Kluyveromyces lactis: one gene and its partners. The protein of the gene in region 2 interacts with the protein of the main gene of each other region in a pairwise test. Links are inferred from orthologs where the notes say so. Each region holds a gene or a part of one and is shown on either strand. Other genes may lie near its edges.

Region 1 (3,071 bases), on a different chromosome or scaffold from region 2:
CCGTCTGATGGGTGGAGATGTCATCAACATGAGTGTGATCCCTGAAGCGAAATTGGCTCGTGAATGTGAAATTCTATACCAGATGGTTTGTATGTCTACCGATTATGATGCATGGAGAGACGAAGAAGAACCAGTGTCTGTACAAACTGTTATCCGTAATTTACAGAACAATGCCAAAAATGCTAACCATTTGGCATCCCGGGTCATTTTAGAAATGGCAAAGCAACTTCCTGAATTTATGAACAACGGTGATGGTCTAAAGGATGCCATGAAGTACTCCATTTCAACAAAACCTGAAGCCATGTCTCAAGATGCCTTGGCCAAGCTAAAGTTTCTATTCCCAAACCATTGGTAACGCTGTAAATTTCTCTTCTATAAACTTTATAAACTATACGCGGTAGGTAGCCATGTAAGTAATAACATTCTTATCATAACTGCTATCAGAGGTTCGAAACCAAAAGAAGAAGAAAAAGAATCGTTCTCCGAAGTACGCATGCTTTTCAGCGCTTCTTCATCGCACTTGGTGAGTCCATCATATAAGTATACCGGTTGCTTGGAATATATCCGGGACGAGTGTCTGGCTGTGAGCGTGTCGATGTGAATAAAGTTGTAGGAGTATTGGAGACATTTGTTATGTGATCGACACCAAAGGCGTTTACTTTCTTCGGTTGTAAAGAGAAAGATACATGATTTTTTTTCACTTCTGCTTGCTGAAGGGTATTCAACTCACGCATTTTCATTGGAGTCTGTAAAGATTTGAATATGAAAGGCTTGTGGCTGGATTTTGATTCTGCTTCATTTAAGGATTTCACTTTAGAGTTACCTATATTAATTGAAGGATCAAAGGATCTACCATAGTCGGGGGTGCTTTCCACAACCCCTAACAAGCGTTTTTGATTCTCGGTTAGATGCAAATCTGATATGTCCGTATTTTGTGCTTTTATCAGCAAGTTCCAAAGACACGATGCAATGTTAAAAATGACAATAGTATGGAATATACTGGTTGCAAATTGCCAAGAAAGCATTTGGAACCAAAATGAATTGATGTTGGCATGTGGGTTAATCTTATAAACAACGTTTTTCAATACGAAAAGATACAGTTCGTCTCGAAGTTGGGATCCCCTTTTAGTGAATTGGAAGAATAATGACACGAATTTGTATATGAGATTCCAAATCATTGCCAACACTACATTAGTCAACAACCTTCTCATCTCCAACTCTTTATTAACCATACGAGATGTGAAAGCAGCCAACGCCGGGTTTTCGAAATCAGTCAATTTATCATATGCGGAATCTTCGGAAAAGTTCAAATCCGTTTGTTGTTTCTGTCCCACCGGTTCGTCCGGTAGCAGATCAGAATTTGTCACTGGTGCGGTATCTTGCTGTGTAGAATATGCCTGGTTACTTTTTCCTCGAAAAACAGGGGATGCGGTATGTGTATTAGTTGATGCTGAAGGTTTCGCGTCAAATCTGCCAGAGAACGCAGATGCAGCAAACACAGAGGAAGAATCTGACTTGGAAACATCAGTCTTGCTGGTAGGATCACTCAATACCTTGTGTTTATACAATGCAGGCGACTGTTTGATAGCTTTTTCCCTTAAGGATTGAAATTGCTGCTGGCTCAAAGGCCTATTGGGAGTCTGAAAAGTCTTGGCCGGTGTGCCAGGCGCAGAAATTCCATTATCCATTGCTACTCTCACCTTTTTCCTTTATATATCTTGATCCCTGTATTTACGGGGTAAACTCTCGATCAATTACCACAGTAAAAACACCACTAATATCAGGATATGAAACTTACCGTATCCAGGTAAAAACTGAACGATTCTTATTTATTAACATTGAAGAACTAGCTGTGTTTTTAGTAGTTAAACTAAGAAGTGAATCTTCAAGCCGGCCTCTATCTCTTTCAAGTGAAAAACATCTCGTTACCCGCACCATCTTGTGCCAGGGAAAAGAAAAAATTCTTTTTGCTTCGTTTGGTTCGTTCTTTAAGTTTTGATGTTCTGTTCAGCATGGAAAAACCAGAAACAGTCAACTTTTGCAGATTAAACAATTTTGAGAATAGAACATTGGTCATTGACTAACTCTCTTATTTTAACTGCAACTTAATTTTTTTTGGAGGCCATTTACAGAAGGGCAGTAAAGTCTTGAAAAGTACCGGGATTTGTCAGTGTACGGGTACTATATCAAGGGGCCAGTGGTTTCAGGGAGCCTGATTGGTTTGTGTATTTAGGTTTTTTTTGTTTGCTATCTTTCTTTGCTTAGATAGAAAGAAAGAACATATATTAATAACAGTATCAATCCGTTTGAAAAACCAATCTGATTAATATCGGTTATCCATTTTTTTTGGGCTCAGTGTGTGATTTTTGGTTTCTCTCACTCGCTCAGTGTCTCGATTTATTTATAGGTCGCTGTTGATTTTGTTAGGAATAAAAGTGATGGGATTCATTGCATCTTTATTGTGTGGTTCAAGCGATTCGGATAGCTCTAGGAAACAGAAGGGTAGGAATTCATCGTCAAGTAACAATAGTAATAAAGGTTCTAGTGGGTCAAGCTCGGAGAAAAGTAAGAGCAAGAATACGCTAAGTGCAAAGAAGAGTGGACGTCCAGGGGTTGCTGCGACTCATTCAAGACAATCAGAAATTCATACTACGTTATCCAATTCTACAGCCAAGATGCATCTGAAAAAGAAAAATGCGGCGAACAAGCATAGCTCAACTGTAGCGGCTGTTGCAAGTGCGCCTGTTGAGAAGAGTCCGCTGTCGAAGAATACGGCTGCTGTTAGTAATAACGATACTGATAGTGATGTCGTTGACGTTGACATGGTTGGAGAGGAAGATGACGATGTGGATGTAAAAGGGGATGAAAAGCAAACACTGTTGGTATATAACGCTGAATCTGATACAAGTACTGGCACAACTGCAGACACCGCAGTGTCTGCAACTCAGCCAACTGCAGAGGTCACGACCACGATTCACGAGACTGAACATACCAGTAGTGCGGATGACTCCGAGGGCATTCATAGTCAAGGCGTTAGCGATGTAGAAATGACAAATGGGGAGCCCGAAGAT
Region 2 (2,531 bases):
ACCACCAAACTCTATCAATATCCACTCATCTGATATTGTTGAAGTTTATGGTAAAGTAGAATCGTCAATCCCCGGTTGTACTGAAATAGACCTATTCTTGAAAGCTAAAACGAATATTAATACCTTACAGATCCTAATCGCTGTTCCTAAATCACAGAAGGCAGAATTCGGATCTCTGTCAAGCCACAAGGTAGCTACAGGTGAAGTAGCTAAGCAGGGTCTTAAAATTCTAGGATCTGGGAAAATCAAGCTAAGGGTCAAATTGAATATCAACTCCACCGAGGATCAATTCGATTATAAATTTGAAAACATCCCCCATTAACGAGCGTTAAAGATGCCTTAAAGTAATATTGTGTAAACTATAAAACGATATAACAATCACATCATGTAGATAAGGGATCTATGTCGATAAACACCGGTACGAGTTCACATTTCCGCAATCAAATAAGCGAACTCAAAAGAAAATTGGACCAGAGGGTGATTTTTCAACTAAGAAGAATTTAACGGGAGTATCCAGAAGCCTTAGCGTTGTTGGCAGCAGCTTCGACTTTCTGGGCCAGTTCTCCCGATTTCCCTTCCACGATAGGTAGGTATTTGTCAGAGAATGGTGAAATCAACCTCGTGTAAACAAGTTGGGCACCGCCGAATGATGGAATGGCAATGTACAGTAAGAAAACAGTCTTAAAGAACCAGTAGAATGGAACCCAGTACAAAATAGCCTTGGACCAGAACTCGATCACAGACAAAAACGAAAAAACAATCCAATAAGTTAACAATTGTGTGTCATCCGTTGATGTGGCAGTCTTCAATGCTTTCAAAGAATAGTATGTTGGAATACAGAATCCAACAAAGTTGGATAAAATCTCACCAATTCCACCAACATTGATAAAAATTAAGAGAAAGTAAACAGCAACAAGACCAACGATAACATATGATCTTGGCAATTTTGTTTGAGCTTCAATACGAGACAAAATTTGATTACCAGCGAATTTCTAAGTTAGAATTGGTTAGTATATTAAGTTTTAAAGTAGTATTATTTTCTCTGTTAGTTACGAGAAGCATCCGAAAGATAATAAAAATCCTAGTAAACATACAGTGTCCAAACCCTTCAAGGAATCTTGAAATAATTTCAGATAGTCTGCCATTGTTGTTTGATTGTAGATTTGTTGGATTGATAGAGTGCAGACTTAAGGTAAATCAAAAAAATTTGAAGGAGGAGGAATTATCGCTCACTGGCAAGTTAGATGTATCCCTTTAAATTTCATTCTTTAGTTTATATTTTTTTTTCACTTTTCAGAATTCGTTGCGTTTTAAGAAACAGCCAGACCTAATGGAATGTTCTATCCGAGCCACAGAAAACGAAAAAAAAAAAGAGGAACACTAACTTTAGCAAGTGGAACCAATATGAGCAAATCACCACCGGTTTCAACAAGTCGCTGCTTTAGCTCAGTTGGGAGAGCGTATGACTGAAGTTCATAAGGTCCTGTGTTCGATCCACAGAAGCAGCATATTTTTTCTAATCCCGTACGCCTTCTTTTTTTTTGGTTTTTTTTTCGCCGCTGAAGTTTCGAACGTTCATATTGGAAGCTAATACTATTTAAAAGTGTCAGATTGAGTATATGAAGGAATACACTAAGGAATGCCAAAAAAAAAATGAAAACATTTCATTATGAATAAAAACTTTTAGGGACAGCATTTGAATTAGCTGACCGACTAATCAAATAACTATCAAACTAAAAATGTCCCGTATATGAGACTTATGTGCATGTCTTATGGGAATAATGCAAATTCTTTAATTGTCGCTCCCTTTTCATCATCGTCATCATCATAAGTGTCATGAACAGTTAGAACTATGAATCTTCCCTTTCTCCAATCAGTTTGATTGCCACGAAAATCAATATCAACATTTTCGGGATTCATTTCAGCCACTTTTGAATAATCAATATCGAAATCGGTCTCATTTCCAGGCAATAATACAATTTGGGACTCATTATATACTCGCCATGGGTATGGTTCTGATGGTGTTACCTTATAGTGATCCAAAATCTTTACAAATTTAGTTTTCATATCTTTAAGTTCAGGATGAGTACTGATTATACTATCTGGATCAATACCGTACCAGTCAAAAACATCTTCAATCGCTGCATCAAAACCTTTTTCTGTCCGTTCCAAATCGCGTACACATTCATCACCAGTCTTATTGCAATATTGATTGACGTTTGATAATATATGCGTCAAATTTTTGAATACCTCTTCTGTTTGTGGCAATATCGACAACGAAAAGGTCTTTGCAGGCCTCGAACCCCATATAATCTTGCCTGACTTGATCTCTTGCGTGAAATTATTCCCCATATCGATTAATAGCCTTGCTGGCAAGTTTTTATATGCGGGCTGCCAGTGTGTGAAATTATTACCGTCGATAACCGAAACAGCAACATCACCAGGAACGCCAGCTGTTAGGTTAGTTATTTGCTTTGCTTCCACGAGGTTTCCCTCAAGATTTTTTTTCGGAATATATAACGGAGTCTTGA
Region 3 (4,227 bases), on a different chromosome or scaffold from region 2:
GCCAAAGAAAACTTGACCCGTGCCAAGAGGCCAGAGCTCATTGAGGCTCTGAATAGAAGTAGCATCAAGAAAAGTTAGCATTATATATAACATAGAGTATGTTTATACCGAAGACTATTATTATTTACCTCCAAAGAAACCAGACATCATATCTTGCAAGAAGTTGATTGGTTTCTCGACCTTGATACCGAAGTATTCTTGGCCCAAGAATTGTAGCTCAGAGTTGTATTTGTTGGCAAGAGTTGAGTATTGTGATTTTAGATTCTGGAAAAGAATAGTTTCTTGAGTTTGACATGCGATTATTAACAACTGTAAAAAGTTCAACGATTCCCACGATGAGAAATAATCAATCTTATATGGGCCTTTCTCTGTTAACTCAAATTTTACATCTGTCTTGTGATTGGTAAACCGTTTTAAAAGTTCTTTAGATCCCTCCAATGCATATTCGATATTGAAGATGAACAAATAGTTGAATATCATTCTTGATATGAAATCGGGGAAACTGGAGTCCTCACCGGATTGCTGATACCAGTCCCAAAGTAGATCCACATACCGCTTCATCGAGTCATGAGTACCTAGCACTAGATATCTTTCCGCTTCGTATGTATATCCACCTTCAAGTAATTTTGTAGCGATCGCTGAATGTAAGTATGGGTCACCAAACTTATATTCACTATGTTTCACAGACCAATTGTTCATCCCTGTCACTACATCCTTTAAATTTGGTTCCTGGCCGTCAACGAGGACGAGTAATTGAATGAGTCTAGAGACCGAAGAGTCATTGCATGGAACCGATGCCAAATCGTAAACTTCAAGTAGATAGAAGATCAAATCTGAACCAGAACCACCTTGCTTGGACCTCAAAAACGCACCGGCTGCATGAGAAATCAAATCAATCGATTCATCATACTTTTTGGCCCGCACATATCTATTAGCAATGGTTCTTAACGTCTGATGGGCTTCATAATAATCACCAGCTTCAATTCTCGCATTGAATCTCTGTAAGGTCTTCGTTAATTTATCACTCATCTCTAAGTGTCTCGATCAAAAAACAATTAAGGTATGTAAAAACTCGCCTAACGGATTCAAAAGGCCTCTTGATAAGTACAAAATAACTTGATTCTGAGAAACACGAAAGCTGTGGTTCACTCGTTGGACCTTTACAATATGATCATGTTCTTTCTTTCTCTTCCTGGCGAAATTTCGGACCGTTAAAATATTGAAACTCAACAAAACCAATATTGAAATTGACTCGTTCATTAACTATTCTGATGAAAGATAGGGTAAAGGACAATAACAGCTGGAGCAGCAGCTGAGCTATATTGCCAAGGGATTTAATTACAATTTAGAACCGAGTAATATCTGCTTAGTGAGGTGATACATTTCGTTTTTGTTACATTATTAAGGGAACGCTGTCAAACAGTAGCATGAGTGATCTCAAAGAAGCTATTCAGCTCATCGATGAGAACAAACAATTCAATCCCTCGACATTGAACTATTTCACGAAGTGCCTTGGGGATAAAAATGTTGGAGTAAAGTATCATGTCATATCTGTTTTTGGATCGCAATCAAGTGGTAAATCGACGTTATTGAATAAATTGTTCGATACAAAATTCGATACCATGGATGCACAGGTTAAACGACAACAGACTACTAGAGGTATTTGGTTATCCCATTCTGCCAATATATACAGCTCTGGAGCTGCCAACCAATCCATTCCTGATTTCTTTGTTTTGGATGTCGAAGGTTCGGATGGTGCGGAGAGAGGTGAGGATCAAGACTTTGAAAGGAAAGCTGCTCTATTTGCATTATCAGTGTCCGAGGTTCTAATCGTGAATATGTGGGAAAACCAGGTCGGGCTATACCAGGGGAATAACATGGGGTTGTTGAAAACGGTTTTCGAGGTGAATCTTTCGTTATTTGGCAAGAATGAAAATCGTCACAAGGTAGCATTGCTGTTTGTCATTAGAGATTTTACCGGCCAAACACCATTGGAAAGTTTAGAAGCCAGTCTTGTCCTGGAATTAGAAAAAATGTGGTCACAGCTAAGTAAGCCTGAAGGTTGTGAAGATACATCTTTCCATGATTTTTTCGTTCCAAATTTCTTCGGTTTGGGCCACAAGGTCTTCCAACCTGAACAGTTTGATAATGATGTGAAGAGTTTGGGTGACTTGTTCGTTGACCAAGATGCCTCTTTCTTCAAAGATGAATACCATACTCACTTGCCATTGGATGGATGGTCTCTTTATGCAGAAAACTGCTGGGAACAAATTGAGAATAACAAAGATCTTGATTTGCCGACCCAGCAGATTCTCGTAGCTAGATTCAAAACCGACGAGATTGCAGCAGCAGCATACAACAAATTTTTGAATGACTATCAATCACAGGTCACTGACTCCTTGGATGGGAAAGAACTTGCAACAGTACTAAAAACATTACAATCAACCTGTATTGATGTCGACTATGACCCTTTCGCCTCACGTTACGCGAAGAAAGTGTATGAAGAACGTAGAGATGATTTGATCAAACAATTAAATACGATAATCGACGAAACGATAACGAATTTCGTTACAAGAACTACTTCATCCCTCATTGAAACTTTCCACAAGAATGCAAGAGATAGAAGTTTGAAGGGGCCATTCAAGCTGAAAATACAATCAGCTCTCGAGAAAGCATCAAGGACGTTCAAAACAAACCTTGCTCCATTTTCAGAACTTGAATTATTATCTTCCATGGATGCATATATCTCTAAATTCGAAGCTCGCGTCAATACCGAGGTTGCTGATCTTCAGGAGCGTGAACTTAATGCGATAGTAGCGAGGTTCAATAAGGGTCTAACTATCAAACTCAAGGATACCATACTTCATCTACTTGCTAAACCTACTATCAATGTATGGGATGACGTTATGAAAGAATTCACTAGTTTCTTAGATGGTAGTTTGAAGAAGTACACTAATGAAGACGGTAAAATAGATTTCCAAACTGGAGCCACTACTGATGCGAATGACAAAACAGAGCACACATTAAAAAGAAATGCTTGGTCATTTTTAGATCATACGGTTCATGGGTATTTGACTGAAGATAATGTTGTTGATATCATGAGAAACGTTTTTAACGACAAATTCAGATACGATGATGACGGTATGCCGAAATTCTGGAAAAATGAAGCAGAAGTAGATGCTTCATATCGTTTGGCAAAAAGTCAGGCATTGAGTGTATTGGATGCCCTTGCAATTGTAAAGAACAAAGATAATGTGGAGATACTCATCCCTGAAGCTCTACTGGAATCAGATGGAGATGGATCCGATTACGAGGAGAACGGCGGCCAAGAAGAAGAAGAAGCAGGGCTATATCATCAACAAAGGTTTTCCCATGTCCTTTCTGCATTGCAAAAAGATAAAATTATTACAAAATTCAAGCAGTTCACAGATTTGGTAATAATTGAAGCTAAAAGGTCTATCGTAAACACAACCGAACGTATCCCCTTGTATATGTATGCACTAGTGGTTGCATTGGGATGGGGTAGAATCATTACTATTCTCAGGAATCCCGCTACGATCATCTTATCGATCATTGTTCTTGCCGGAGCATATTTTGTTCACAAACTAAACTTATGGGGTCCATTACTACAATTTGCCAACCAAGCCACAGGACAAGCAACTGCGGTATTGAAACAAACTGTTCGAAGCTTGGTAGTGGATGAGGAACCAAAGAGAAAGATACTCGTCGAACCACATGAGTCAGAAGGAGTAGACAAGGAACCTTCGAAAAATGACCAGCATTTATAATTACAATATTATGTAGTAACACTTGCTGTATATAAATATTTTAATAGGATTCCGAGATAATATCATCGATATCCAAATAATGTTTTAGCTTCCATGGTTAACTTCCCTGTTGAACGGTGGTGAATAGAACCTTAAAATACTATGAAAAAAACAGTCAAATGGCTTTAGCATTCTATTGAAGGGTTTAATGAACTTTTGAAAGTGCAGCCTCTAAAAGATAAAAGAATTGCACCGCAAGGTCCTTTACGGAGCTGTGTGGTCATCCATTATTATGTCAAACCAAGAAGCCACCGGAAGTTGGCAGTTTTTACACATAAATAATGATATTTCGTTGGCTAAAATTACGAAAGAGTCATCGTCATCCATCATCGGTGTACTGAAGCTCTGCGAGGATGAGAAGTTCTTACGGTTTCGTGTAAGCTCAGAGCAGATTCCAAAG

What was found. The genes of interacting proteins can lie anywhere in the genome.
Region 1: the proteins of YOP1 (region 2) and POM34 interact in a protein complementation assay, tested with the Saccharomyces cerevisiae proteins (2 studies listed by BioGRID). The link is inferred for Kluyveromyces lactis from reciprocal best matches to the Saccharomyces cerevisiae genes YOP1 and POM34.
Region 3: the proteins of YOP1 (region 2) and SEY1 interact in binary tests that used the Saccharomyces cerevisiae proteins (3 or more experiments, as listed by UniProt). The link is inferred for Kluyveromyces lactis from reciprocal best matches to the Saccharomyces cerevisiae genes YOP1 and SEY1.

Annotation. Positions count from the first base shown.
Region 1 is NC_006042.1:1,442,172-1,445,242, reverse strand, and holds POM34 (Pom34p), read right to left. Parts: upstream 1,689-3,071; coding exon 501-1,688; downstream 1-500. Other genes in the region: MEU1 (S-methyl-5-thioadenosine phosphorylase), read left to right, coding at 1-355; PSR1 (phosphatase), read left to right, coding at 2,439-3,071. UniProt on the Saccharomyces cerevisiae protein: Functions as a component of the nuclear pore complex (NPC).
Region 2 is NC_006041.1:596,442-598,972, forward strand, and holds YOP1 (Yop1p), read right to left. Parts: upstream 1,146-2,531; coding exon 1,095-1,145; intron 993-1,094; coding exon 501-992; downstream 1-500. Other genes in the region: APL4 (AP-1 complex subunit gamma), read left to right, coding at 1-322; alpha,alpha-trehalase ATH1, read right to left, coding at 1,771-2,531. UniProt on the Saccharomyces cerevisiae protein: Required to generate and maintain the structure of the tubular endoplasmic reticulum network and the vacuole. Induces high curvature in membranes and causes membrane tubule formation. Involved in membrane/vesicle trafficking.
Region 3 is NC_006042.1:1,887,376-1,891,602, forward strand, and holds SEY1 (dynamin-like GTPase SEY1), read left to right. Parts: upstream 1-1,427; coding exon 1,428-3,788; downstream 3,789-4,227. Other genes in the region: polyphosphatase DDP1, read left to right, coding at 1-78; protein GET4, read right to left, coding at 121-1,029; NEJ1 (Nej1p), read left to right, coding at 4,060-4,227. UniProt on the Saccharomyces cerevisiae protein: Cooperates with the reticulon proteins RTN1 and RTN2 and the tubule-shaping DP1 family protein YOP1 to generate and maintain the structure of the tubular endoplasmic reticulum network. Has GTPase activity, which is required for its function in ER organization.